Linked DNA regions of Oryzias latipes. The protein of the gene in region 2 interacts with the protein of the main gene of each other region in a biochemical or structural test. Links are inferred from orthologs where the notes say so. Each region holds a gene or a part of one and is shown on either strand. Other genes may lie near its edges.

Evidence for each region.
Region 1: of the proteins of ikbkb (region 2) and nfkb1, one has a biochemical effect on the other in vitro, tested with the Homo sapiens proteins (4 studies listed by BioGRID and IntAct). The link is inferred for Oryzias latipes from reciprocal best matches to the Homo sapiens genes IKBKB and NFKB1.
Region 3: of the proteins of ikbkb (region 2) and cops5, one has a biochemical effect on the other in vitro, tested with the Homo sapiens proteins (2 studies listed by BioGRID). The link is inferred for Oryzias latipes from reciprocal best matches to the Homo sapiens genes IKBKB and COPS5.
Region 4: of the proteins of ikbkb (region 2) and map3k7, one has a biochemical effect on the other in vitro, tested with the Homo sapiens proteins (5 studies listed by BioGRID). The link is inferred for Oryzias latipes from reciprocal best matches to the Homo sapiens genes IKBKB and MAP3K7.
Region 5: of the proteins of ikbkb (region 2) and putative transcription factor p65 homolog, one has a biochemical effect on the other in vitro, tested with the Homo sapiens proteins (4 studies listed by BioGRID and IntAct). The link is inferred for Oryzias latipes from reciprocal best matches to the Homo sapiens genes IKBKB and RELA.
Region 6: of the proteins of ikbkb (region 2) and tnfaip3, one has a biochemical effect on the other in vitro, tested with the Homo sapiens proteins (2 studies listed by BioGRID and IntAct). The link is inferred for Oryzias latipes from reciprocal best matches to the Homo sapiens genes IKBKB and TNFAIP3.

What each region holds. Positions count from the first base shown.
Region 1 is NC_019868.2:30,853,535-30,858,283, reverse strand, and holds part of nfkb1 (nuclear factor NF-kappa-B p105 subunit), read right to left. Parts: intron 4,075-4,749; coding exon 3,923-4,074; intron 3,857-3,922; coding exon 3,693-3,856; intron 3,348-3,692; coding exon 3,189-3,347; intron 503-3,188; coding exon 398-502; intron 200-397; coding exon 108-199; intron 1-107.
Region 2 is NC_019867.2:6,216,327-6,221,075, forward strand, and holds part of ikbkb (inhibitor of nuclear factor kappa-B kinase subunit beta), read left to right. Parts: intron 1-1,990; coding exon 1,991-2,114; intron 2,115-2,201; coding exon 2,202-2,353; intron 2,354-3,217; coding exon 3,218-3,279; intron 3,280-3,353; coding exon 3,354-3,454; intron 3,455-3,529; coding exon 3,530-3,579; intron 3,580-3,722; coding exon 3,723-3,822; intron 3,823-4,127; coding exon 4,128-4,275; intron 4,276-4,392; coding exon 4,393-4,490; intron 4,491-4,749.
Region 3 is NC_019878.2:17,008,040-17,013,490, reverse strand, and holds the start of cops5 (COP9 signalosome complex subunit 5), read right to left. Parts: upstream 3,252-5,451; 5' UTR 3,103-3,251; coding exon 2,966-3,102; intron 2,886-2,965; coding exon 2,651-2,885; intron 2,091-2,650; coding exon 1,962-2,090; intron 1,586-1,961; coding exon 1,520-1,585; intron 1,290-1,519; coding exon 1,204-1,289; intron 1,058-1,203; coding exon 946-1,057; intron 276-945; coding exon 127-275; intron 1-126. Other genes in the region: cspp1 (centrosome and spindle pole-associated protein 1), read left to right, coding at 4,323-4,382, 4,505-4,585, 4,671-4,772, 4,891-5,288, 5,387-5,451. UniProt on the Homo sapiens protein: Probable protease subunit of the COP9 signalosome complex (CSN), a complex involved in various cellular and developmental processes.
Region 4 is NC_019882.2:20,574,419-20,579,106, forward strand, and holds the end of map3k7 (mitogen-activated protein kinase kinase kinase 7), read right to left. Parts: intron 2,108-4,688; coding exon 1,927-2,107; 3' UTR 1,037-1,926; downstream 1-1,036. UniProt on the Homo sapiens protein: Serine/threonine kinase which acts as an essential component of the MAP kinase signal transduction pathway. Plays an important role in the cascades of cellular responses evoked by changes in the environment.
Region 5 is NC_019876.2:27,210,653-27,215,401, reverse strand, and holds part of putative transcription factor p65 homolog, read right to left. Parts: intron 2,340-4,749; coding exon 2,194-2,339; intron 1-2,193. UniProt on the Homo sapiens protein: NF-kappa-B is a pleiotropic transcription factor present in almost all cell types and is the endpoint of a series of signal transduction events that are initiated by a vast array of stimuli related to many biological processes such as inflammation, immunity, differentiation, cell growth, tumorigenesis and apoptosis.
Region 6 is NC_019873.2:16,684,069-16,689,464, reverse strand, and holds the start of tnfaip3 (tumor necrosis factor alpha-induced protein 3), read right to left. Parts: upstream 3,279-5,396; 5' UTR 2,939-3,278; intron 1,826-2,938; 5' UTR 1,734-1,825; coding exon 1,430-1,733; intron 1-1,429. UniProt on the Homo sapiens protein: Ubiquitin-editing enzyme that contains both ubiquitin ligase and deubiquitinase activities.

The DNA.
Region 1 (4,749 bases), on a different chromosome or scaffold from region 2:
AACAACACAGAACATCACTGCAGCAGAGCGTTGGTCATCGCGGTTCAGAGCAGGAAGACGCAGGGATCAGAAAAGCGTTGGCTGCAGCGCCACCTGCTGGTACTGACCTGCCGGTGAACGTCTGTGGGGGAGAAGTCTCCTAGGGCCTCCCAGGTCATTCCCGACTCATCCTCCTCGTAGAACCTCACCTGGATGTCGTCTGCAGACGGATGCAGATGTTTGTGAGCTCAGAGTGGTCTTCATCTGCAGATGGAACCCTCCTCCTCTTCCTCACAGTTAAGTCCATGAGGATTCAAATCTTTACCAATCCAGCAAAGCTGCTCTGCTCGGTCACATGACCCTCCGCGCCAGCTGCAGTTTTCAGTTTTTCACCTGCGTGTTGAGAATGGTCTCTTACCTTTCTGGACTTTGTCGCAGAGCAGGTAGACCTCCTCCCCCCCCGTCACACAGCCAGCCGTCCGATCCATCCTCACGATCTTCAAGTTGGAGGCGTTTGGAGCCTCTGAGGGAGAAGCAAAGCGGCGCTGAAAGTCCAGCTTTTTCTTCATTATCGATGAAGGTCCCAGGATGATATTCATTAAGGTCCTCCTGGGATCTTAGCCGATCATCTCACTCAAGTTTAAGGTTGTTATTGAGGACCAGCTGAACTTTACAGAAAGCTGCTTCTTCCCTTCCCAGCATGCAGTTCTGTCTCCTCCAAAATCAGAAGATTAAACCTTCGGTTATCCTGGTTCACACTCTGGTAGCTGTCACTCCAGGAAACGCTTTGATTTGGGCAGAAATGCTGAAAACGTATGTTCATGTGGGGGCGCCATCCATACCCAGGACTAACCAGGTCTAACCAGGACTAACCAGGTCTAACCAGGACTAACCAGGTCAAACCAGGACAAACCAGGACTAACCAGGTCTAACCAGGTCTAACCAGGACTAACCAGGTCTAACCAGGACTAACCAGGTCTAACCAGGTCTAACCAGGACTAACCAGGTCTAACCAGGACTAATCAGGACTAACCAGGTCTAACCAGGACTAACCAGGTCTAACCAGGACTAACCAGGACTAACCAGGTCTAACCAGGACTAACCAGGTCTAACCAGGACTAACCAGGACTAACCAGGTCTAACCAGGACTAACCAGGTCTAACCAGGACTAACCAGGTCTAACCAGGACAAACCAGGACAAACCAGGACTAACCAAACCAAGACTAACCAGGACTAACCAGGACTAACCAGGTATAACCAGGTCTAACCAGGTCTAACCAGGACTAACCAGGACTAACCAGGTCTAACCAGGTCTAACCAGGACTAACCAGGTCTAACCAGGACTAACCAGGTCTAACCAGGACTAACCAGGTCTAACCAGGACTAACCAGGTTTAACCAGGTCTAACCAGGACTAACCAGGTCTAACCAGGACTAACCAGGTCTAACCAGGACTAATCAGGACTAACCAGGTCTAACCAGGACTAACCAGGACTAACCAGGAATAACCAGGTCTAACCAGGACTAACCAGGAATAACCAGGTCTAACCAGGTCTAACCAGCACTAACCAGGACTAGCCAGGTCTAACCAGGACTAACCAGGTCTAACCAGGACTAACCAGGACTAACCAGGAATAACCAGGTCTAACCAGGACTAACCAGGAATAACCAGGTCTAACCAGGACTAACCAGGTCTAACCAGGTCTAACCTGGACTAAACAGGACTAACCAGGTCTAACCAGGACTAACCAGGTCTAACCAAGACTAACCAGGTCTAACCAGGACTAACCAGGTCTAACCAGGACTAACCAGGAATAACCAGGTCTAACCAGGTCTAAACAGCACTAACCAGGACTAACCAGGTCTAACCAAGACTAACCAGGTCTAACCAGGACTAACCAGGTCTAACCAGGACTAATCAGGACTAACCAGGACTAGGACTAATCAGGTCTAACCAGGACTAACCAGGTCTAACCAGGACTAGGACTAATCAGGTCTAACCAGGACTAACCAGGACTAAACAGGTCTAACCAGGACTAACCAGGACTAACCAGGACTAATCAGGACTAACCAGGACTAAACCGGTCTAACCAGGACTAACCAGGTCTAACCAGGACTAACCAGGTCTAACCAGGACTAGCCAGGTCTAACCAGGACTAACCAGGTCTAACCAGGACTAACCAGGTCTAACCAGGACTAACCAGGTCTAACCAGGACTAACCAGGTCTAACCAGGACTAGGACTAATCAGGTCTAACCAGGACTAACCAGGTCTAACCAGGACTAACCAGGACTAACCAGGTCTAACCAGGACTAATCAGGTCTAACCAGGACTAATCAGGTCTAACCAGGACTAACCAGGACTAACCAGGACTAACCAGGTCTAACCAGGTCTATCCTGGACTAAACAGGACTAACCAGGTCTAACCAGGACTAACCAGGTCTAACCAAGACTAACCAGGTCTAACCAGGACTAACCAGGTCTAACCAGGTCTAACCAGCACTAACCAGGACTAACCAAGACTAACCAGGTCTAACCAGGACTAACCAGGTCTAACCAGGACTAACCAGGTCTAACCAGGACTAGGACTAATCAGGTCTAACCAGGACTAACCAGGTCTAACCAGGACTAGGACTAATCAGGTCTAACCAGGACTAACCAGGACTAAACAGGTCTAACCAGGACTAACCAGGACTAACCAGGACTAATCAGGACTAACCAGGACTAAACAGGTCTAACCAGGACTAACCAGGACTAACCAGGACTAACCAGGTCTAACCAAGACTAACCAGGTCTAACCAGGACTAACCAGGTCTAACCAGGACTAGGACTAATCAGGTCTAACCAGGACTAACCAGGTCTAACCAGGACTAGGACTAATCAGGTCTAACCAGGACTAACCAGGACTAAACAGGTCTAACCAGGACTAACCAGGTCTAACCAGGTCTAACCAGGACTAACCAGGACTAACCAGGACTAACCAGGTCTAACCAAGACTAACCAGGTCTAACCAGGACTAACCAGGTCTAACCAGGACTAGGACTAATCAGGTCTAACCAGGACTAACCAGGACTCTAACTTGTCCTCAGATTCTGACATGTGAAGGAGCTCCTGCTGCTCCTCCCTGCCCCCCCCCCTACCCAGCAGACCCTAAACATCGTTAGATTCCCGCTCTCTCCCTTCGCTCCGGATGAGTGGATTGAAACTCACTGCTGTCAAAGATCGGCTCGGACACCACAGGTTCCAGTCGTCGGGTAAAGCCCCCGTCGCTGTCGGGGAGGAACGCCGTAAACATGAGGCGAACCACACTGAGGTCCATCTCCTTGGCCTGGCTGGCCGCTGCACTGCTGATCACACAGCGCTGATGGTCTGAGGACACACAGATGGGAACCATGAAAATGCAATATCACAGGAGTAGTTTTACCTTACTGCCGTACTGCAACAAAGATTTCAGGAGAAAATCCTTTTTTTTTTTAGAATTTTTCATGTAAGCAAGGATCATAATTACAAAAACTTCTAGCTCAAAATGAACTTATGCTGCAGTATCTAAGCTTTCCCACAGGACTAATTGTCACCTACTTTTACTAATTAACAGTTTTATCTAGTTCATCGTTGCACCATTTGTACTAAATGTTCAGCTACTTCACAGAAGAGCTCTGTTTAGGGGTTACGAGAATCAAAGGTGGGACCTGTAGACCCGAAACCTTCACTGACCGCTGAGCTCTCGCGGGACGCGGACCTCCCCCTGCACGGCGTCGATCTCTGGATGGATGGAGATGCTGCAGTTGTAGCCCATCCTGAACGCTTCAATCATTCTCTCCTCAAGAGTCTTGGCCACGTTCTTCTTGGTCACATGGAGGATCCCCAGGTTAGGAAAACTAACAGGAAACATACGTGAGCGTCATTGGTTTAACACGTTCAGGCCGACGGCATAAGGCGCACACCTGATGGTGGCTTCTTTGGACTGCAGGTCGGCGATGCAAATTCCTTTATCGCACTGTTTCCCCACCAGACTGTGAGCGTGAAGCTGTGGGCTGGAGGTCAGCGCCGTCACCAACTGGACCACCACCCGAGCCTGGCCCTGATAGTTGAAGATCTGAAACACAGAACACTAAAAGTGTCATGTCTGACAAAAATAGAGCTGAGGAAAAGACCAAACGGTCACCTGTATGATGAACAATACTGACATCTGAGCTAACAAGACGCTAAAAAGTTTAGAGAAAACCACAGTACTGTAGATGTTTCCATGATAGAAAACCCCTAGATTACAGCATCACACACAGAAAGGCGAAGAAATCTGCTCCCACTTAACCTGAGGTTAAAATTCAATTCAATAGTGAGGGAAAACTCTCCCCAATGTTTCATAGTAGAAGGTAAAACACAGTCCACTGCACCTGGTAGGTCTTTTATCAGAACACTACTCATCTCTTCTTCCTAAGGTTTTCTGAGTTCTTAAACACAACTCAGACAGAGTGGGAATGCACCTGTGGAGACTGCACTAAAGACAAGGGGCCTTCTATAGGTTAGTATGATAAACTAACCAAGTCTGAGCGGTTTCAGATCCTTTTATGAGGAGGGGGGGTTGGGGCAGTTAGTTACAGACTGATGTACGGGTGTAGAAGGATGGATTGCTGTAGACCAGGGGGGTCAAGCTCATTTTCACTGAGGGCCACATCAGCATAGCGGCTGTCCTCAAAGGGCCAGATGTAACTTATACATGTAACTAAATGTAATGAAAAATAAATGTAACTACTCCTTAATGGTAAATAAC
Region 2 (4,749 bases):
GTAATGGGGAACATCTATTAATGGGTTAAAAAAAAAGTTTTAAATCTATTAATGAAATCAAACAACACGTGTTGAAGATTTCCAAAGGAAGTTTGGAAATTATTATAAGATGACCACCGGAGCCAGTGGCCATTTTCTTGCAAAGCGTGAAGTTTTCACACAATATTGGAAAAGAAAACTTTTGTTTGAATGACCTTCACAAAATTTCACATACACCGCCAGCTTTTAAGTCTACAACTAGTTTTGTTGACTTTTGACTTTTTGAATTAAAAAAAACAATTTACCACCAGCTACAAATTACACCTCCTTCTATCGCATCTTAACTCCTGGAGCATCATCGGGAAGCTATTTGGAAAAAAATGTTGCAGATTTTGAAGGCCATTAGCGCGGCAAGCTCCCAAAAATGGCGTTCCCCTGTTGCTCGCACATGTTTTTACCAGAATATTGTGAAAATGTAATGAAGGAGTCGTTATCTCAAACTGAACGCAACGATATACAATATGAGCATATTAGGATTGTGGGGTTGCTTAAGAAATAACCTCTGTCGCCAAAGAAATCCAAAAATTTACTTTTGCAGATTCTTCTAAAAATGGCATAGGCCTCAGGCGACAAAAAAATAAAATGGTTCCTATGGAAACCAATAGAACATTTAAAAAAAAGTTGTTTTCTTAATGAATTTGTCACATGAGGCTTTGACCAGTTTGGCAGAAATGGAGACTAAGGGGGCATGCTGCAACCGTTCAGCCAGTGAGGTGGGGTCAAGGGGGCGGCGAGGGAGGGTAGCGCCTGCGGACCATGCAATGTCCCTCGCACCTTTAACGTTAAAACATTCAAACTTCTTCCTTTTAATGTTTTTTTATAACGTTTTTTTAAGAAACTTTTAAGTCCAGTTTATGTTTTTCAATCAGAAAAGTGCTTTGGTGCAAACTTAGCAAGAAATTTCAAAACAGATATTTATCACTCCTGTGTTAGTGTCTCATCGTTAAATACATTTATAAATATGTCATGAAATGATTTTACTTAACACTTTTGAAGTATATGTTAAAAAAAATGTAAAGGGTTGATTTTATTTAGTTTCACCAGAATTATATCACTCCAAGAGATTTGGCACCAAGAAGTCCAGTGATTGCACTTTTAGGGGGAAAAAAATCATCTGGTCACTTAGTTAAACCTCCTTATTTTCATATGGGACTAAATATTTTCATTGAGTCAAGCCAGTTTAGCACCTGGACTCTTACACCCACTCTCACCACAGAGCCATGAAGCTGCACAGAAAACAAAACATGTGGTTTAGTTTGGAAGAGAGAAGTGGCTGATTTCAACCTGAAGTTATCCAAGTTCTTCCTCTCTTGTTTAGCTCTGACGGGGCAGTTTTCACAACTTACATAAGAAATGTGAAGTTTTGATAAACAGGCAAACGAAAAAGTATCTTAAAAGTCAATGTTGACCCATAAAAGCTGACTGGACATGTGTGGCGTTACCTTTCAGTTTGGGAACATTGCAGACGTCAAAAGAGCTTTTATTGTTTTAATAGATTGTTTTATTGAAATGTTGTTTTCATGATAAAACAGTTTTTAAAAAAGGCCAAAAGGCTGCATCCTCTCAATTTTTAGCAAAAGGGAAATATATTTAGCTTAAGGATGTGTAGGTATCATAGAAATACAATTTGTACACAGATTTGTGTTCATTTGTTAACTTCTAACTCTTGAATTTGTTATTAACTGATTATTTAATTGTTTCACAAAATGTCCAGAGTTGTCTTAGTTCTCACTCTGTAATGCCTATTTTTTTATTTTATTTTACAGACTAACATATAAAGGGGTCTACGTATTTTTAAACAATTATATTTTATAACCCTTTACCAACTTTTGTGTTTTTTAAGAGAAAAACGTTTTCATTACTATGGACCCTGCTGATAAATAAATGTTTATGGTGTGGATCTTTTTTTTTGTCCTTGACTCTCTTTGTTGACCTCTCATTTTTTCTGCAGAAATGGACCCCAAGCACGTCCTTCCTTACAGCCCTCTGAGGAGGACGTGTGGTCAGGCGTGGCACACCATCCGCTCCCTGAAGGAGGACTGGCAAAGGCTGCAGCAGGGCCAGAAAGCTGCCATGTGAGACACGCACGGACTCAAGTTTCATCCAAAAACTAGCTAAAGGTTGTTGTTTTTTTTATTAAAAAAGGTTTTTTTTTCTTCCAGCATGAGCCTGCTGAGACACAACTCCTCACTGTCCAAACAGAAGAATGAGATGGTTTCCATGCACCAAAGACTTACTGCCAAGTTGGAGTTCTTCACCACCAGCCTTCACATCGACATGGACAAATACCAGGAGCAGACAGCCACAGGGATTGGTATGTGTTCATTGGATGAAGTTTTAAACACCCACTGCGATCATCATTTGATCTATTTTCAAAGAGTTCCCAGTGGTCTTTTAATTAGGTTGATGCCGTTTTTAGCCCAAATCAAAAACCTGCGTTGTTTTCTAGGACATAGTTTCTGCAGAGTGGCAATAGTTTATTAGAAATTTGCCTCCGAGTTGTAGGTGGGGAGTAAGCCCTACGCAGATTTCCCATCATGCCTTTGCGGACATGCTCAGCCCCTCACAACCCCCACCTAACATTACCAGTGCAAGAAAAATGTCGAGAAATGTTGGGCAAAATCATGTTTTTGGTGTTTTCATCATGTTCCTTTGGCATTTTTCTCATGATGGAGGACATATATTAAGAAAATTGTCCTTAAAATGTCTTTTCTGAGTATTTCATTATCTAAATCATTGGAAATTAAGAGCAGACAAAAAAATGCCATTTGAAAAAACGTTTATTTGACATGTAAAATATATGGTGGGCAGGCCGAGCTCTCAGCAATAAATGGTTGCCATGTTTCATAAAAAAGGTTTTCTTGCTGTCTCAATAAAAATGTAATTTTTTCTAAATTTAGGTATTGCATTATGTTTCTTACCAAATGAAGATGTGTTGGGGGAAATTTGCTCAGAGGTAAATTTCTAATGAACTACTGCCACTCTGCAGAAACTATGTTTTACAGAATGGCTAAAAACGATAAAATCATTAAAAAAAAAAAAAAAAAACACTGGCAATGCTTTGAAAAGATGATCAGAGTGGGACTATAATAAGTTATATGTATGGTTTATATTTGTATTACCTGAAACAACTCGATCCAGGTGTTTCAGTTTTACTGCGACTTTCTATTTTTCACAGCGTCAGAGAAGCTTATGAGTGTGTGGAGGGAGATGGAGCAAACGGCTGTCAGCTGTGGTCAGGTAGGCCTGAGCGGACCACAATAAGCATGTCAAGCAAGTATTTCCATTCTTTAAAAAGCCAGTGTGGTCACCAGGCAAAAGTGTCTGAACTGGAGGACGAGATGATGCAGCTGCAGCCAGACATCGTTGATGTGCAGAGGCAGCCGTGGAGGTGTGGAGAGGCCTTGGATACGCTGTAAGTCTCAACCCGAGAGATGGAAAAATTTAAGGACCAGCTGGGCTTTGAGCCTCCTCTCTCTTTGATCCTCAGCGAAGGAAAAGCCATGGAGCTGTTCCGAAAACTCAGAGAAAAACCCAGAGGTTAGACCTTTTCCACGCATCACCTCGCGCCTTATTTAAACCCTGGTCGTGGTGAGAGCAAAATAGAACTCCTGTAATTTGTCTCGTTTTTTTTTTTCTTCCTTTTTTTTTTCCTCTCCTCCCGCTTTATTCCCTCTGCTCAGACCAGAGATGTGCAGGAGACGGTCAGGAGGTGATGCGTCTGGTCCTGCAGGCTGTGCAGGTCTACGAGAGGAAGCTCAAAGATTTCTATACACACCTCAGGTACCCAAAGACAGGATGTTGTTAAATTAAATCATGAATATGTGTAAAACAAGGTTTCAACATATGGAGCGTTGCATGTTTTGTTGTTGAGATTCAACTAATGGCCTCATTTATTCATTTTTTACGATTTAGTAATGACTGCTGGCCTCTAACTCGTATACCTTTGTATCCAGTGCATTTCAGTTAGAGATGGATAGATATAGATATACATATTTATAAATAATTGTACACAAATTTTTTTGATTTTAAAAATATGGCGTGATTTTTATGTTCTCTTTTGTCACCCGGCCCTGTGTGTTTCGCAGTAAGACTGCGGTGTGTCGCCAGCGTGTGATGGAGCTCCTACCAAAGGTGGAGGGCGTGGTCCAGAAGATGGCGGAGAGCGAACAGATCCTGATGAGCCTGCAGGAGAGGCGACAGAAGGAGCTGTGGAACCTGCTCAAAGTGGCCTGTGTGAGGACATGTGAACGCACAAAGACCTCAACATTAATGTCACGTATGCTTTGCCTAAAGGGCAAATGCACTTTGTGAAAAAACATGCAGTAAAATGCACCGTTGTTTATTGTGCAGAGCAAAGTCAGAAGCCCGGTCAGTGGGAGTCCTGATGGACTGCGTACTCCTTCATCGGTGCCGCCTCTTCTGACCCCCAGAGACAGCTTACAGCAGATGTAAGTCCATTTGAAGCTGGACATTCGAACACTTAAAGCAGTGGTCCCAGCCCCCAGGCAATAGATCGGTACCGGTTTGTTGGACAATTGGTACCGGGCTGCAGGGACAAAACACTATGACCTACATGTTTTCTGTTTTATTTATAATCTGATTCTGAAAGAAATTTCATTTTGAAAAACTCCTGGATTCTTCCAATCACATCCGACTCATTTTGGATGCATGTCAAGTCGCCGCAACGCGTGTCGGAAATGCATTCAC
Region 3 (5,451 bases), on a different chromosome or scaffold from region 2:
AAAGCTATTTGTAGTGATTACATAAACAAAAATGCAATGCCAAGTTCATTTATAGGCCACCTAATGTTTACCATAATATGTATAATCTGCAGTAAAAAAAGGAAAGCAACAAATTTAAAGGCTTACCTGTCTCGAGTAGCTTTGGCCAGTTTGTCCTCTGACTTCCTGTCATGCGTGTCCAACCCGAGCATGAAGCTTCCTCTGCCCAGCTGAGCCTCCGACTGCTCCAGTTTCTCCGACAGGTCAAACACCTGACCCGTGGTGTAGTCCGAGTTCTGGCCGTCCAAGAGACAGAATAAACCAATGTACGCACACTTATCACACAAAAGCCAGATAACAGAGTGTTCCATAGAAAGAACTTGTTACAGACTAGCCACAAATCGAACCATCTCTGAGCTGTCCCGAAGGAAAAGAAGTCATGGAGAAGTTTGCTTAAGGTGAGGCTGTGTTTATAGTAGAGCAGGTAATTAAAACACAATGCCATGGGGGGGGCCTGACTAGGGTGACAGTGTAGCAACTGACAAAGCCCGTCACCTACTGAGCAGCTCCTTCTTGACATCTAGTCAATACATCTTCATCCAGAATGCCAGCGAGTGAACTGTTTAGATAAGCCTGGTGTCTATTTAACCCAGCTCAGGACCACAATGCAAATTCATGTGACGGCCTTTCAGTCTTTAGAAAAAACTGTGCTCGAGGGGCGGGGGGCTTCTGGATGAGTGGAGTCAAGTCCAACTTTAATACCCATCATCTTCTTCTGCTCCAAAGTTCACAAAGACCTTATTACTAAAAACAATAAACAAGCAGGGCCAGCTAAAAAGCAGCAATAAATCAACACATCACAACATGTTGACTCCATGTCTGAATGAGTTATAGAGTAATAATTAACCATAAATCAAAATGTCAAACAATTAGTGAACATTTTGAGTTTTGAGGTGGCTTACATACCGTAAGAAGGCTGGAGGAACTTAAGGTATTGACCCAATATTTGTTCCAAAGGAGTTCCAGGAGCTTTCGATCCAGAGAAGACTTGAAGTAAGTCACCTCCAAGGCGTAATATCTGAATAGAGACAATCATAAAGAGTTGAAAAAAAAGATAATTCAGGAGCATGTTAAATATATGCATCTTTGATACATAAAGTTTTGATAAATAAAGTTTGATTGATTGATTTATTAAGAGTGGTTTAGTGCTTTAAATTTACTCACTGTTTACAATGAACACCAAAGTCTTCTATCTTGTTCAGCGGGATTGTTTGATATTCTGATGGTCCTTCATCTGGAGGTTTGTAACCCTGAAAATCCACAAGGAAAATGTTAAAAAATAATACAAAATAAAAAAAAAGAATTAGCACATTTGTTTAATCATTAACAAGTAAACAAATTAAGACATTCTGATGTATATTTATGACAAATATTTATTCAGATCCCTCCTAAAAAAACTAACATCAACGATTCGAACTTAAAATTTAATTTATGACTTCAATAAGTCATAACACCATGTTTCTCTTGGTCTTTGCTGTACCTTTGGGTATGTTCTGAAGGCACCTAGATTGACTTTCCCTGCAGAAATAGTCCGAGTGGGGTCGATCTGTAGGACACAAGATACAGTAAAACAGGAAAACAAAGTCAAAGGTCGGAATCCTCCAGAGACCACTGGAATCAGTTCACTAGGAGCCTTTTTCCCGCAGCTGTCAGTGTGAAAAAAACACACACTTAATTATACGACGCCCCTGGCGTCGAAGCCCTGCTGAACTAAAGGACGTGTAAATAGCATATGGGGTTGCAAAAGGAAAATAGTCAGTAGTGCAATGCCAAAACATGCAGTGAATGCATTAATAGATTTTCATTTACGTTCTTGTAATGTTTTTTTTTTAAAGACGAAACAGGAACTTTCCTCCTCATTTTTTAAAAATTCCACTAGCAGGAAATTACATTAAAATAACGTTATAAAAGTTTATACGTACAACAACAGCAACAAAAGGCTCCTGAAACTGCTGGTTGAGCATCTGAGTGCTCACGTCGATCCCTGACAGCCAGCATCCGTAACCCGGGTGACTGTGGTACCAGCCAATGGCATTCTCCAAACGGCCAACCTGGGGGGTTAAAAAGATAAATATAACAAAATTATTCATAATTATTTATAATACAATATTATAAAGTGTTTATTGTTTAATACAATGAAAAGGTTTTACTAAATCTGACGTGGCTTGCTTAGTTTCTAAAAAATACGGAAACTATTTATGAAAGGAAATAGACAGACTTCAATAGGTCAGTCGGGGATAGAAGTTATTTTTAAGCTTTTAAAAACAAAAAAATGAATATTATAAATGCTCTGCTATCCCCAAAGATAACTGGAAACAGCGGGACAGCAACTCAAGAAAATCCAGGCTGGACTTATTCCGGCTACCTGTAGCCCACCAAAAAAAAAAAAAGAAGAACAGTCATAACGACAATAGAAACTAAATAAAAGATTAGAACACTTCAATAGACATATTGACATACTGAACACAGAACCTATGACTAATAAATCTTAATAAGAGACAGTTTTTCAACAATTCCACCAGGAACTGTGTAATCTGTCAAGAAGAAGTAATTGCTGCTGTGTCATTTCAGTGTTGGTGTATGTTTTTACAATAAAATAACATGATCCCACCTGTTTGGCGTTTTCAATGTAGGCAGCCATGTATTCGTATGCTGCAGCCTGCGCGTTCACCCTGGTTTCTGTTCCCTCCACAGGCAAAGCGAAGCTGTCCATGATGATCATGGTCTCCCCGTCCACCTTCCCCAGCATGAGACCCATCACCTCCAGGTTCCCCCCTGACCTGGCATGCATCACCATCTTCAGCAGGGCCAACGCGGAGATTTTGCAGTACTTGAAGTAGTGGTGACTAATGATTTGAGAAAAAGAAAACACAATTAGTTTACGCGACACAACAAATAGGAATGAAGTCAATCAGGTTGAAAGTACTCTTTTGTCCACGGCTTCGCCGCGAGGATTTCTTGTTGTTGTTTTTTGTCGTATTTGTAAATTTCATCGATGCTCTGGACTTCCTGCATGCTGTTCGACAGCTCCCACGTTTTCTGAGCTGTACTACTTCCAGCCATGATAAAGTGTCAATTCAAAATACGAAGAATAAGCGTTTCGAACGTCAGTGACAACAACACAAACAAAGAAATTGTGTATATCCGTCTAAAGTAACAGGGCCAGACGTTCTCTTGCAACGGCAGCCATGACAGGGAACGATACCAAAACAATGACGTCGAAAGATTGAACCTTTCTTTGTTGATTTGGAAAAATACAAAAGTCGAAGTTTCGTATCTTTATGTATTAAAATGGATCATTAATAATATATTGAAAAAATCAATACAATTTATGTAAGAGTTAAAAGTTCTGCTAAATGTACCCATCAATTCTGGTACTGTCACCCCTCTGATAATGGTTTAGTCCAAAAGAGACGTCAGCAGACACTTGAGGATGCACTGGCATCTAGCGGTGAGACTTGTAAAAAGCAGACAGGTTTGAGAATATTTTTTATCCTGTTTTTAGAACTTTGTTTTTTATTTAATGCATTGTATATCTAATAAAGACCCTAATGGGAGATAACAGTTATTAATGCTGCAAAAAAAAAAACTTCTCGAAAAAACACATTAGCGAACGTCATTGGTCAAGAGTAAAGGTAAAACATCAATGTTACTTCGTGTTTGTCATCTTATAAAGCTTAGAAAGCACGTTTAGGATTTTCAAAGATATTTTTATTGAAATGCGATTAAGTTTGTATGATTACCACATAAACTTTAGATATACGGAGTTTTTTGTGGTTTCGTGTTTGCTAACTTCTTTAGCCTGTGCCAACCTTTGTGTCACGGTTGCCCATAGCAACGCTTGCTGCGTTGCCATTTTAGTGCGGCGAAAACATTCAGAATAGTCATAAAAATGTCTAATTAATTAAGTATGTATCCTTTAGAGTTAGAGTTTCATCTAAGGTTTCATTTTTATAGCTTTGTTCACTGCCAGGTTGTGCTGTTTGAGTTTATAATGGAAAACACCTAACTTTCAATTTGCATGCACCTGTATGCTGAGAAAGTTCTTGAATCTGACCTTGGACAACTAACTTTCTGTATGAATGTTTTTCATCATTTGCAGGTGATGTGCATTTTGTAAAACTCTAGCATCCACAAAATATGGAACCATATAGCTTATCATAAACAAGATGAAGTATTTGTGGTAGTTTTAATTTTCAATCAGTCCAATTATACTGGCTATTTATTTGCTATGTTTTTCTCTCTCTCTAGGTTTTAACTGAGGCTTAGTATCAGAGCGTGAAATGGAGGAACAGAAACCTCTTCTGGATCTGCGGCTGGACTTCAAATATCATGCAGCCAAGGTCAGATATCATACGATTATTATAGGATCATTTAAAGAGAATTTTTGTTGACTGTGTTACCTCTGATTCTCCATTCTGCCAACTTATTTTTCTATTTTTTATTCTTACATGTACCTTTTAAGGAACACGATTTAAAAACCTGTGAACCTCATCCACAACACCAAGGGCTTTCCTTACCTATTGATGATAGAGCATCCATAAAGGTGTGTCCTTGTGTGCACTATTTTTTTTTTTATATTGCCTTGTTCATACCTTTTATTTATTTATTTTGGGGTTTTTTTGCAACAGAAAAGACTGAGAGACGAGCTGAAAAAGGAATATAATCAATTTCTTCAGGAGCAAGCTCAAATAAGGAAATTAAATAGGAGAGTCCTTCCTGTCACCTTTAAGGTAAAATCCAAGCTAACAAAGATATTTTTCCCAATATACAGGTTACCTGATAAAGAAATTGGTCTTGTTATTTGTGCTGTATAGCTGTGGTAGCTCTATTTAATATTATTTCTTTCAGCCTGAAGAAAGTCAACCATCCAAGGTTGTGAACTCAACTGGTGAAAATCATCACCTCTTGATTAAACCCAACACAAACACAGACAGGGAGCACACTGCATCCAGGACGGACGCTGCCACCCTGACTGAGGATGCAGGAGAAAGAAGCACAGGGACTCCAGGCCCACAGTCACGGAGGAGGTGGAACATCCCTAAAGCAAAAGGACGTCAAGGTTCTGAAGACGGAGAGAACACCGATGAAAGGGATGGTTTAGGTTGTCAGACAGAGAAGATCCGGATACCAGAAGAGCCTAAAAGCTCAGAGGTGGAGCTGAACACAGATAAAGGGGATCAAATTGATTTCAAAGCAAGGAGGAGACAAAACAGAAGCACCCAAGTTAGTGAGCACAGAGTGAACAGGTGTCTAATTATCTTCATAGGGATTTTAAACTATTGTTAATCTGGACTTGCTTTTAAGAGGAATTTGTTTGCATTTTCTGTATTTCTCATTTCTGCAGCGCTGACTTTCAGGAAATGGAGGCTTCTGCTGTTTGTAATAAGAACAGCAGTGATCAGGCTGGAC
Region 4 (4,688 bases), on a different chromosome or scaffold from region 2:
TCCCCTCTTTCCTTTTCCGTCCGGTCCAACACCAAAGATTTTCAAACATGATTGAAATTAATAAAGTTTGGCCTCAATTACAAAAGGGGTTTATTCAGACATACCTTTGGTTTGTCTGAAGATGAATAACCCCTCTTGTTAAAATAAAATATGTCCAACACAAGAGGCCCTCAGCTCTCATCTGTTTGCCTAGCTGTTGGACAGGACAAGTTAAAAAAAAAAAATAAATAAATAAAACAATAAAAAAAAAACATTTTGAACAATGATGCAAAAACTGCAGCTGGAGTTTTATGACTTGCTGCCGTTTCAAAGATTTGGGCACTAAAAGGTTAAACCGAAGAAAATCAGAGCAAAGGATTTCAGATTTAGAAGACCCGACCAAAAGTCTCCACTGTTGTAACCTGATAGTTCTGTCATAGTGTCAGACTCAGTAGCACTGCCACCTATTGTCCGATCCCTACTCAACCGCTGGAGGCCAATCACAGCCTTTCCTGCATCATCTGCTGGTTTTGGGGATGCACCTCTGTTCTCTTGACACGCTGTGAGGCCCCTCCCACCTCATTTGCATAGCATTTTAAAGAAAAGTTAGCAGAATTGAACAGCCATCTATATTCTGAAAAGGAATTCCAACAACTGACTAAGGAGATTTGTGGGACTGTCAGGAATGTTCAACATTTCTTATTTTGCCTTGAAAATTTTCTGGTTTATCTCTATTAGCCACAGCTTTCCTTCTATTTGCTGTTGCTCTTTTGGTTGTTGTTGCTTGTAGGTTTTGTCATTTTTCTATACATCCTTTGTGTTTAGCACCTTGTGGACTAAGGCCTGTTGATGAGAAGAGCTCTACAAACACAGGGATTGAAGAATTAAGTGATGAAACATCCTTTTCCACCGACCAACAGCTGTTAAAGGTTTAGGACTCCCACATGGTGGCGCTAGTCTTCCTACATAGTTGTCATCTTTGCACGTGTGCAGAACATTTCACTTCTCTATTGCTGAGGACATGTGGAGGATCAAGACAAAAGGCCAAACTTCAGCGTTCATGAAGCAGAAACAGCTTTTGAATCAGCAAAAATGTACAGAACTGGGCTTTACAGTGCAGCTGAGCAGAGCTTGAATGCACCTCTATGCTGCTTTTATTCACACTAAACACACCAGGATCACATCTTGTAATGCAAAGAACCACACGTCTGATCCCAGCATCCAGGTCACGTCCAGAAGATGGGGGCGGGGCCAACAGCTGGGGGATGCAGCGTCTTTGGCTCAGACCGAACCCTGTCTGAACCTGAAACATTCACGCGGTGTGGGAGCAGCAGGACATTCACCCCACAGGTGAGCCTCGGCTGCAGTCAGTCCGCACCTCCATCGCCTACGATGCGCTCGCAGGCGGAGGAGCGCCAACGCCAGGTCACCAACCGGGCCGTACAGTCCAGACTCCTCAAGTTTTCTTTTAAAACCAAAAAGTTTAAATAGCAATAAAAGTCGTCTAAACGTAGTAACTGTGCAAAAACAACAGAGTTGGATCTAAAGCTGGTGAGAAACATGATGATCATCTAAAAGAATGTCGTCACCTCCGTCGGGTATGAAGAAGGAAAGTCTCCGTAGCTCCTCTGTCAGACATGATCCGACCTGAACTTCAGCCGACCGCTAAGGCAACATGTGAACTAAAAGGAGAGCTGAGCAGATCCTCCAGCAGATTCAGGGATAAAACATCTACACACAAAAATCTACAGGGCGGTTAAACCAGGAGGGGCTGTGAGGATGGTGGGGAACTGGTTTTCATGTGAACTTCACGTCCCAGAGAGGCTGTGAGGAAGTGCAAACTCCTTTGAGAAGTCTTCCTGGAGGGGCTCTGGATGGAGCCAGGCCGGGGGGGGGGGGTAGTGTTGAGAGTGCAGGGGGGAGGGGAGTGGGCGTGTCTCCGTTTCATCAGGAAGTGCCCTGCCTCTTCTGCTGCTGCACCCGGATCAGCTCCAGCTGCTTCTTGCACTTCTGGTAGTAGGTGGACAGACTCTTGTTCTCCTCCAGCAGCTTCTTGTGCTCCTGCACCAGACGGGACGTGTTCTGCTGGTCCTTCTCGTCTTGGTCCAGTTCAGCGATGAGCTCCTTCCTGCTCAAGACACAAACAAACCGCCATGAGACTTCCTGAGACTTTGGAAAGTCCCCTTTTCTTCTGAATAAAAACTCTGTAGGGGATCCGCCGTCGGCTGGATGAAGCTCGTCTGCTGGACTTTAAATGTGTAGTTGTAGATTTAGATAAGTAAATTCTTCTCTTTGAGTTCTGGTAAATCGCCTGTCCGTCCTGGGGGAGGATCCCTCCTTCATGTGGACACCCCTGAGGTTTCTTCGTTTTTCCGGAATCCGGTTTTTTGGGAGTTTTTCCTTACCGCGAAGGGGGGTCTAAGGGCAGGGATGCCAGTATAGTTTAGTCAGTTTGTTAGTTCATTTTAGTATTTTGCTATTGAACTCTTTGTATTCGTGATCCTTTTGAGTTCATGTTTCACTTAAGCCCATCGAGACGACTGTTGTTGTGATTTTGGGCTATACAAATAAAATTGAATTGAATTGAATTGAATCGGAGGACTTCATCCACCAAATCAGTGGCCCCCAAATCCAGACCGTGAGGGCCGGTGTCCTGCTGGTTTTCCAGAAACCCTGCCTTATTTGCTGCTGACTACCTTGATACCTTGTTTAGCCAATATGGAGCTTCAATGGCAGGTTGGTTAGAAAACATGTAGGAGAGGTCTGGATTTGGGGACCCCTGCACTAAATGCTTAAAGCTCTGGACACACCAGGCATGTGAAAATGTGGGTTTTCACATTGGACAAGCAGGGAGGGGCTTCTTCTTTATCGTTTTCTCTTTTTTTTACTAACACTTGTCCACCACCTACAGTTGGAAGAGGCTTGATGTGGAATGTAGAAGCGGAGCAAATGTCCTGACTCTTCCTCCAGGCTTTTTCTTTCACAGCTCTATTCCAATATATGAAAGATTTGGCTTAGTTTCACTCCAGCAAATATTAATTTATCCTCCATGATCAATTTTTAAACTGAAAATTCAAGAAACTGAAAAGTCCCCATACATAGGTTACTACCACGTCTGACAAATTCAACCTAGTTTAGTTTTCAGCGCTTGTTCAATGGCCACGTGTTTTGTATGATGAGCCCAAAACCGGTCGTAGAAACATTTGAGCTGCGTGCAAATGCACAAGTTTTGAACGCAGAACGCAGAAACGCACATTTCCATAGATTTTTCATGAACATAGTTTAAGACCTATGGTTGAGATAATAATCAAAGTAACTTGTTACAAATGTTCTTGTTTCATATCTCCTTCTAAATATTTGTAGGATTCAGGGCTCCAGACTGCGAGCAATTGGTCGCATTTTGCGACCAAAATTTGAGAGTGTGCGACTAAATTTTACATCCAGTCGCACATGTGCGAGCAGTAAATTTGCCTCCCCCACCCTTCGTATTTTTTTATACATTAAACGTGGAAGGGGCACGTCAATGATCTATGAAATAATCAATGAGACGCGAGCGCACACGCACGCAGGCAGGCACACACACTCGCGCACATACTCATGAAACGCAAGCACGAACACTCTCGCGTGATGCCTGTGTGTTAGGCGGCCACTGCGTCTGAGAAGAATAGGAAAAGTCACTGTGAGTGGCTAAAATGCGTGTAGGGGGAGGGGCCTAGAGCTGACCAACCAATCACAGTGGGGTATATGACTCTTGGGGGCGTGGCAATGACAGGGTTTTGCAAGCAGGAAACCTGACAGCCCCCTCCCCGGACCACATTAAGGAGTTCTTTACTTTCCTTTCTAGAACGTATCTATTCGCTCGTAATTTTCTAAATACATGCAGTCCGTGCTGAACTTTTCTCTGGGTCACACAGATCCGGAGGAAGGTTTAGGTTTTGGTTACGGTTACGGCGGCGCATCATACGGGTTACGGCAGCACACCGCTCCCGTCCCGCGGGAGTCGGGTCAGCTGAGGAGAATAAATGCCCCCGACGTACATGCGTGACAGCTAACGGGGCTTGAACTTTAAACACGCTCGAGCAAAAACAACATTAGTTTTAGACACACTGAAAATACGTGGGGAAAATGCAACGATAGACGTGTTTGAGATGAACCAGCACCTCGCCTGGATCGTTGGGGAGACCAGGCGGGGGGGGGCTGTGAGATGAAAGCGAATCTGCAGCAAGACTGAAGGAGAACAGGAAATTGGAGCTGTCCTTAACATTCAATTTAGATTTAATATTCTTCTCCCCCTTAGTATGATCTGTGTTATTATATATTTTATGATTATTTGAATGTTTTGTAATGTATGTAGCCTTTTTTAATGAATTGGTATTTTAAATTATTTTAATTAATCCCTCCACTACAAAAACCATCAGGACACATGTCCCATAATGCATTGTTTTGTAGTCTGTAGGGCAGCTTTCAGTCAGTTCAGTTTTCAGCTGTGTCTGGGTAGGTTTGCCCCTTGCCCCACCCCTTTCTCGCGATATTTTTGCGATGATTGACAGTTAATGTTGGAGCAAAAACAAATATATGTCACACACCAGGTGATCTGCGCAGCGTTGAGTTCACCTGGGTGATCTCAAACACGCTTGTTGTGCATCTTGGCTGCACCTATTTGGTGTCACAAAGATAAATTTCCATCCGTTTTCTTTACTTATTTGTAC
Region 5 (4,749 bases), on a different chromosome or scaffold from region 2:
TTTCAGTGATAACATAAAGGATTCTTTGATTAAAAATAAAAAAAAGCAGTTATTTTCCTTTAAAGTTAATGTTAGCACAGTGAGAAGGCCCTGGTTCGTTCCAGGAAGAGTCTGCTCTGCCAGACACTTTTAACAGACACCAATTTTTCGTGGAGCTAGCTGTGATCGGCTAAACGCTTTCTTTAAACCTGCACAATGTGCACATCCATTTTTGCAAAAGTACAGATGGTTGGGTTTTTTTTCGGGGCGAAACGCAGACACGCTGCTGAGGCCGACTCTAGGATGATGTCATGAAATGGGCGGCACCCACAAGGAGAGAAAGGCGGAGCCTCAGAGATCGAGTCGTCTTACTTCTGGGTTGGAAAATTAGCAGCGAAAAGAAATTGTATCTCAAAGAAAATCTTTCTTTAGTGTTTTAAAGGTAATATATTATCATATATGGAAATATCTTTTTCTGAAAGTTAATTCTATTAAGAAAAGCAAGATATAGACCCTTTAACTGTTGACTGAATTGTCCTTTAGATGCGAGTGTGTGTAGTTCTCTATGTGGTCCTCGTGATAGACTAACAAATAGGGGTGTAACCACTGATCCACTTAATCAATGAATCGATTTAAATTCTTACAGTCCAACCAGATCGATCTGTCTGAGGCAAGTTGTTGATCGAAACGACCGAGACCATTATAGAATGGTTTCAAAATGAAATGAATATATCTACAATCAATCCTGGACCATTTAGATTGAGTTACAGTACGTTTAGTTTACTATATCGTGAAAACGACCATCACGGCGGACAACACACACGTGATGTCAGCAAAACCTGTGTGGAAAGACTTTGAATAAAGTCATATGACCATCCAGTGTCTATAATGTTCTAAGAATGTTCCCTTTGGATTCTTTGGATGTGGAAAAACAACAGTGGGCTGAACTTTAGGAAACCAAAATGTGAATGGATTTGACATTCATTCTTGTTTACTTGTTTGTTTGGACACATATTTCATTTACACTTGATGATCTGGAAGAAATACAAGAATCTGGAAAACTGTTAAGTAGCAGGAATTTCTCTCTGAGTCTCACTGGTTGAACTTTTGGCTAAAGATGTCCTGGATCCATCTTTAGGTTTAGTGAATCGAATCGTTCAAAATGAACAAATATCGACTCTGAATCGTATCGTCAACCACTTATCATAATAGGAATCGATGGTTACTAGCAAACCATGCAGGGTGCACCCCACCCACACCCAGCAGTAGCTTGGATAGGCTCCAGCAACGCCATGACCCTGAACTGGAACAAGTGGGATTGGAAAATGGATGGATTTGATGAATCCATACTGTTTTCATGATCAGTTTTCGTCCATTTTTTTAAAGCTGTGCCTCATTTTTACACCTACATCATGATCAAAAATGTATACCGTATTTTCCGGACTATAAGTCGCTGCGGAGTATAAGTCGCACCAGCCCAAAAATGCATATAAAGTAGAAAAAAACACAGATAAGTCGCACTGGACTATAAGTCGCATTTTGACGGGAAATTTATTTGACAAAATCTGAGACCAAGAACTAATAACTTGAACAACCTCATATGACACAATCATAGCAGACTGTTTATCTCATAATTTCACAGTAATTCTTTCTCATACTTGTTTATTTATTCCTTTCATGAAGCATCATTGGCCAACTAATACTCTGTTTTCATCCTGTATTTGTAGAAACAGTTGTCATTTTTATTGCATTTCTGAATCTATGAAATCATTGGAAAATAGAATATTATGTTGTTAGCCTTCAAGATCTTACTGTAAAACAGGTTTGCTGATTCTCTGAGTCACTTAACATATTCTTAACACTTAACATACCTCATACATCAAATTGACCCGGGAACATCATCTCTGTTCCTCACAAATGAACATAACAGGAGGGTTAACAATGTATTTATTTCAATTTAGTTCTAATATAAGTCGCTGCGGAGTATAAGTCGCACCCCTTGCCAAACTATGAAAAAAAGGGTGACTTATAGTCCGGAAAATATGTTATTTGTGATGATGCTTGTTTTCCTCTGGAGGTCCTTCCTGTCTTTATGTTTGAAACAAATCTTTGTCATTCACATGAACATTCTGTTTCCAGTGACCTGTACAAAGGTCATGACCCTCTGGGTGTCTCGGGTGGTGCAGTGGGGACTCGGGTGTAACCCGCCCTCACCTGTGTATTCTCCTCTCCTGCAGGTCTGCCTCGTAGTAGCCATGCTTGCAGTCTTTTCCAACCAGTTCATGGGGGTGGGGCTTGTGCGGTGTGTTTTTGGTCACCAGGGAGATGCGAACTCTCAGCGGACCGTTGTAATTATTCACCTGACGAAAGAACACACAGCTGTAATGACATCCTCATCACACAGCTCAGAGCCTTTAAGCAGACGGGCTGATGGACGACATGCATTTACATTAAGGTAGAGGATTCCAGCCGCAGGTTTATCATATAACAGCATCAACCATCCAATCAAGCGTTCAGTCAGAGATCCTGAACTTTTATGATTTACCTACTGGAAAAAAAAAATATCTTGCACACCTATTAAAAACAAAGTCCCACTCTGATAATCTTTTCATCTCTTGTAAAGTCGTTCCAAGTGGTCCTTTAATGACGGGACAACTAGAAGCCCCTGTTGTTTTCTAGGACATAGTTTCTGCAGGAGGATATTGTGTTGTGGGCGGGACTGCTGTACCAACCCCGCTCCCCTCCCCCTCCCCATTGCTCAGAGCGTGGAGCAAAGCTCATAAGTTCTTTTTCAAACACAATTTTTTCATCTGCTCCTGATTCACAACAAGTTGAATAAAGAAATACTCAGAAATGCATTTTTAAGCTTATTTTATTATTTTATAATTATCTCATTTTAAGCATATGTGAAAAACACCAAAAACACAATTTTCACCAAAGTGGGTCTTTAAAGATGTTCTGCACAAACACAGACAGAAACGGTTCCTATCTGCACCCGCCCCTCCGGTAGAATCCAATATTTAAAAGAGGGGAGAAAATAGGTGGAAATGCTCCAACCGCATGGCAGCAGCTCAACACATCTAAGAATGTAGACGGGGTCAGTTTGACCCGCTGAAGTTCAGAGTGTAAACCAAAATGAGATAAAGGGACATTTCCTGACTTTGATTCTCAAAATATATTTGTTGATTTTTATCTTGATGTGATTCAGTTTCTGTGATGGGGAAAGAAAAAAAAAAAGATTTTGAAGGGACTGACAATTCTAATATTGTAAAATCTCTTTTTGTTTAGTTTGCAAACATTATCTATTGAATATAAGATCTCCTCCCAACCTCCTAGGGGGGATTTCTAACCCCAAGCTGGGGTCCTCTACCAGACACCTGGGAGCTTGAGGGTCCTGCGCAGCTACAACTGCGCTTTCCTGGACTGAGATGTCAGCGGTTTATCCGGGGATTTGCTGCAGCCGCTCCATCAGTTTGGAGGTTTCGATCGTCGCGGAGACCACTACTGTCCCCTTCCAAGAGTTTTATAACCAAACAAAATGGAAACTGGATTAGAAATGTTAGTCGTGTGTGGATTGTGAATCAAATCTTGCAGAGTAGTGAATCTGAAGTTCCTCCTTTTGGGAAACTGCCTTCATGGACTGTGACGCATTTGGATGCAAACCCAAAAGTCCTTTCCGGCGTTCTTGATCTGCAGTGGGTCACACAGATTTTTCTGCATCTTCTCCATCTGACTCTGGGCAATGCAGCCATAGTGGCTCATTCATTCATTCATCTTCTTAACCGTTTATTCCCTTTTGGGGTCACGGGGTTGCCGGAGCCTATCCCAGCCACTTGGGTGTAGGCAAGGGATGCCCTGGACTGGTCGCCAGTCTGTCGCAGGGTGGAATATCCTCAATCACACATCCATTCACTCTCACACTCACACCTATGGACAATTTACTATGGACGGTCCCAGCCGCAACTCAGAGCTGAATTTCTTATGAACTTCTGCCGCTCTGCTGAAACTATGTCCTAGAGAACGACACAGGTTTTTTAGATTTTTGGCTAAAACCAACATATCCATTAACCAGGAAACAAACTACAGCTTCACTCCATTCATGTTTTTTTGTCCAAATTCCTTACGTTTTTGCTTTATGTTCAGACGACTCTGTTGTGCTTTCTAACAGACCAAGGACCAATCCCAATTCTTCCCCTGCCCCTCCGTCTTCTCCCTACCCCTACATTTAGCCCTTTCCAAAAGAGTCAAACAGCAGAACTGACTTGATGACCAGAAAGAAGCATGTTCTCTGTGGTTGAACATCCTAAACAGCTTTTGTTTTTTATACTCCCACTCCGATCATCTTTGGATTCCCATTGGTCTCTTTAATTATGATTTTGCAGTTTTTAGCAAAACCGAACTAGTGATGCTGCTGTCTGGTTTTCCAGAAGCCCGCATTTCTGGTTTTTAGTAACCCACGCTTTCTGCCTCCTCAATGAGTGCACGTATGGGGCGTGCACGTGACACCCAAGTGCTGTAGGACGTCCACACAAACTACACTCTGATGTCCTCATTTCTGTCACACATGGAGCCGTCCACTTAGCACTAACGTTAGTGCCGTTTTGATGAAAAAGAAAAGTCTGTACAACATTCCTGCGTCTCACCAAGCGAGCTACTATCTCCACTTTTCCTTCAGACCACCCGCCTGGACTGTACAGGTATGACCATTTTTTTTGCCCACAGACAGCCTGTATCTACCCGTAAGCTCAGTGGCCTTGTGGTGGAGTGTCT
Region 6 (5,396 bases), on a different chromosome or scaffold from region 2:
AATCTGCATGTATTTGTGTGTTATTTTATATATATATATATATATATATATATATATATATATATATATATATATATATATATATATATATATATAATATATATATATATATATATATATATATATAATATATATATATATATATATATATATATATATATATAAAAATATAAATAAAACTATATATATAGATAGATAGATATAGATGTGTGTGTGTGTGTGGTTATTATACGTGTGTGTGATACATGTCCCCTGCTCAAAGTCACGTCTGGGTCCTTCAGAGTCAGACGATCCAGATCTGAATTCGGTCTCTCCTTTATGACATCATATTTGCAGGCCAGGAAATTCCATGCTGCTTACTGGCACAGGAATTCAAAGGAGTTTGTCATCAATTCAGGGGTCTTTTTGGAGAGGAACTAAGTATTGATGAGTTACAGGAAGTTGCTTAGTTAATACTGAACTTCACTGTTTGCATATACTGCGATGCATGACACATCCTGCAAGTTCCTCATGCATCCAAAAACAATTGAAGCTACACTTTGAGATGGAATACATCAAGAAACCCCTGACATGAAACAGAACTATTTCCCTTGGAAACTTCACATTGTGAAGAAAAATTAACCAATTCATTTTCCATTTCCTCCTTTTGTTGTGTGCATTAACTGTGATTATACCAGTAAATATATGTCTTTTTAAACCTTACATCACATCAGACTGTCACAACAGACATCTTCAGGTTATATGTGAGGCAGAAAGCAATGCCTCCCAGCAGAAAATTTGTATTCAGTCACATTTGAGTGACCGCAGTCTGACAAGGGGGGTGAAACATGTGACAGAGACTGGATGGAAACATGGGGCGTGGAGGCATTTTAAAAAGATTCATTGACCTTCACACCCCTCACAGAGACACCCCCACTTGCACACACCCACAGAAAAAGCAGGGGATAAACCCCTCAACTTTTAAAAAATGGAAACACTCATTGCTGACCGTAAACAATAGTGCAGCGTGATGAATTTCCAAGTACAATGCGTCAAGGCCCCAAAGTAAATGTTTGTCTGCCTCGGGATGTTCCCACATTACAGCTCCTACGTAACAGAAAACATGACCCAAAGGAGCCGGTGTGAAAGTGGAACCCATGCACCTCGGTTGATGTCATTTACAGTAACCCCTCTTGTGAGTAATGACATCTCAGAATGTGCATATCAGATCCTCCTATCTCATGAACACAAACCTTCTCTGACATAGAAAATGAAACAAAAGTTAACGCCTCTGTGGGGGGATGACATCTGTTGTTTCTAAAATTGACACAAAAAAGTTTTGAACTAACAAAGGACCACAGGGTTTGTGTTTTCAAAAATCCAACCAACTTTGTGGATCTTTGCCTAAACATACTGCCCAAAATTTCTTCTCGGAAGTAGCATTTCTTACCGTTGGTGCGTAAAGGTACCATCTTCTTCAACTCCCGACACCAGTTGAGCTTCTTCTCCTGCTCTAACGAGGCCTGCATGGCTCGGTCCAAGATGGCGGCTTGAACTACCTCCCTGAAGGCCTGAGGAAAGTGGTTCATGGCGATCATCTCTAGCGTGTAGCGGTGCATTCCGCGCAGGTGATGCATGAGGCCGCTGGTGGAAGGCTTCACCACATCATTGGGCACTCGCTGGCGGATCTTCACCGCCTTCAGCAGGTTAGAGACAAACAGGAATTTGGGGAGGAAGTTCTGGCCCTGCGACATGACGGATGGCCAGGAGAATGGGTGGAGGGGAGGAAAAGGAGTGAGGAGAGGAGGAGGAAGCACCAGCCGACGATGACCCAGCAACTTGCAGGCTAGAGACACAGAGAGGTAAAACAAAATAAGTGATCTTACAACCCTAAACAACATCACAGGCTCCAAACCTAGATTTCACCTAGTATTTAATTTTCCTCAGGAAACCACCAATCACAGTAAAGGGTTCCTTTGTGGATCAAGTTAGGTGATTCTCCAAAAGGGTCGAACTTACGTACAAAGAAACCTTTATCTCCTGGTGTGTTCTAATACTGTGTTTTTCACTTTGACTGGTTTTTCATTGATCTCAAAGCTTTCCAACAAAAGACTGGTGTTTTCCAGAGTTACACTGCAGGCCACCCAATATCGCTAGGGCTTCTGGGAAGGTCACGAGACAGGCTTTCCCCTCCTGTCAACACCTTACCAGCTGTTAGCTTGCGTCAAACGTGTATTTAAAAGATTGCCAGGACTCAATATTTGTTAAAACGTTTTTTTCTGTACTTTATACATTCAAATAAAGTTTATTAGAGATTGTTGTAAAAAATTAGAGCTCAAAAGTCACGTGAAGGTGGTACAGAGGGTCTAGTTGAGCAGTTTGGGCTAAAATGAGAACTTTCCCAGCCTATTCATGAAGTTCTGAGCTGATAGTGAAACCAGTAAGTTGACAAATGAATGTCAGGCTTCAACAGCAGCAGGTGCAACAGCAGGGAAGGCCGTGCAGGAGCGCCGGTGACCGCGGTGCCGTGCTGCTGTGTCTGGGCTGGACGTCAGGGAGCCCGTGGACCCGCGGGTCGTCTCGGCATGAGCGGTGCGGGAGAGCGGCGCCCGCACGGTCGCGGCAGACTTCGCTGACGTTCGAGGCTTACGTAATTACAACGACAACTCCAATGGAAACAATGTGCCGTTCCAGACCGACAAGAAGCCGCTGCCAGCGGCACCGACGGCGCATTCGGTGGCGCGGAAGCGTCGCCCAGCCGCTTCACGGTGACGTCTTTGTAAACAATGGCTGTCAACGCCGCTGTCGTGAGCAGGCTTCACGCTTCCTCCATGTCCCCACAACCACGACCGTACATTTCCTCGAGGCCCGAGCGGGGATTCAGCCGCTTAATCTCCCGGAATTGTGCAGAAATGCCTACATGTGGAGGCAGAAGGAGGAGTTGGGGCTGGCGTCTTACCTGTGCAATATGTCGGGGTAACAACAAAGCCTCCCGGATGCTCAAGCAAGTCCTCTCTCAGCCACTTTACTCAGCCTCACCGCAGCAGTCTTCGGCGCCATTCACCCTTCTGTTTCCTCCAACAGCCTATCAGATCTATTTCGGAACCTTTGATGCTCGCGAAGCCTTTCGAAAGACTACAGGCGTCCACTAACACTAGTTTTTAAAAAAGGAAAAAAAAGAAAAAGAAGAAGTTAGGGGGATTTCCACACAGGGACTTTCCGTCCACCCATTTCCCTCTCTGTAAAAAAAAACGTGCACTTGCGGCACTTTGCCGCTAGGAGGGGCTCCACTGTCTGACTCAGTACCGTGAAACATATCCCACCTACTGAGCACAAAGAAGCGTCACTGAGGTAGACAGACAGGTCGCGTCATCCTCGATTTCATGAAATAAATCATTACCCCTCAGTCAGACCTCTCCAAGTTAAAAAGCCAGGAAACGGAACAAAAAACACATTCTGAGAAGCAGATGTCCCCTTTCTCACGAGTTGAGCATAAAATAGTCTTTCAGTGATGACGTGAGACTGTTTCAACTGTTTGGAAATTATGTTTTTCTATTCTTTTGCCGCTTTAGAAGCAAAAACGTTACTCCTGCTGTCATGCAGTAGTAACTTAAAAATATATTCAGTTTTCTCCTTTTAAAAAAAAGTTTTATGCACAATTTAAATCATATTCATTTTATTTTGTGCACATAAGAGACCAAACACAAGATCCTAATAAATACAAAGCTGCAAGAATGTAACCAGTTAGTGCAATAAACAAAACATCTAATCATGAGTGTGTCCTACGCACCACCTCAATATTTTTGTTTTTTGAGGTATTTTGCTCCAACAACTCTTAGCACCACGGTCTGCACAAGAATGTGTTTTTTTCCCACTTAATTGGCTGGTTGTATAACTTTATTTTATTTTATTTTTCCTTCACCTCAATTTTTTGCACATTTTTCCTTTTTTTAACCTATATGTTTCTTATTTGACCTTAAATTTGGATTTATACACAAATTTAGAAAAAGATGCCAGCAAAATATGCTTACTTGCAGCTTAAAAAAAACATGCTGCAACCTCAGAGTCTACACATCCCTGAACCAAATGTCACACCTGTCGTTTGTGGAGATTGTCAAGCTCTCAATGGCTAGGGCATCAGCTGCGTGGTGGAGCACACCAACCGTCTCAATGTGGTCAACCCAAGTAGGAGCGGTTAAACTTTGCTCCAGCTCTCAAGCAGAGTTTGCTGATGTTGCACATGATTCACCCTGTATTTATTGTGCAAGAAGATTCTCTGCTATTGTCTGCAGGGTTTGTGAAATATCAAACAGCCCCACAAGAAAATTAATTTTTTTATTCATTCTTGCTGATGTCTTAAAGCAGAAAACCCAACTTTAAATCAAATCCAGTACAAGATAGTATTTATATGACACATCATGTAAAAAAATGCAAACAAAATAAAGTCTTTACAAAACAATGTATTTTAAGTTGTTAATTATTCAACAACTAGATTAGAGACATGGGTAAACTACCATACAAAAGAAGAAAATTAACACAAATTGAAAAAAATACAACATCTTGGATTTTACTTACCTGTGGGAACAGGTGTAAAAGTTATGATCTCCACTGTGGAGAAATATACAGATGAAGCTTTGGGTCCTGTTTACCTGAGCAAAGCTTATAAAACTGTACTGAGATGCCCCTCACTTTCCACTCTCCTTTCTCTTCCCTTTGGAAATGCTCCTACTTCTGGGTTGTGTTTACCCAAACTCTGGAAACTACACTTCAACATCCCTCTTGAGCAGGGAACAGAAACTTAAAATCACCTGACACATAGGTGTGAGGTATGAGGCATGAGGACAGAGTTACAGGCCTTATCTTTTACTGCTCAGTTGCTTAAGAGGTGACAAATAGTGTCTAGCAATGAACAGTCACTTTAAGACACTAACGCCTTGCTGTGAGTATTTGTTGAGCCCATGGATACACACACAAACAAAATATGTAGCAAACCTTTCACATGCTAATGCTGTAGTTGCTATTTTTAACTCAAATGACTGAACTTTCCAAAAACATTTTTTTTAAAGTTCATCATGGTTGGGTCACAAACTGGACTGGCTGGTTGTGGAAGCAATGAAAGAAAACTAGCTGAGTCACACGTGGAAACCCCCTCAAAGACAACTGACCTGCTGCAATGCAAAAAAATAAATAAAATAAAAAGTCACCTGTCTGGTGTGGTCAGATATGCTGAAAAAGGAACTTTGCCTTTTGACTTAGTGGTTGCAAAACAGTTCTCTCAATTTTGATTGGAAAATTAACAATATTTTGATATTTATTGTCACAAAACAGTAATTTCCTACTTTTTTGATAAGGAATCAGTAAATCATTAAAAAATGTTTTTTTGCTAAACCAAACAACTGTGTTTTCAAATCACAGCC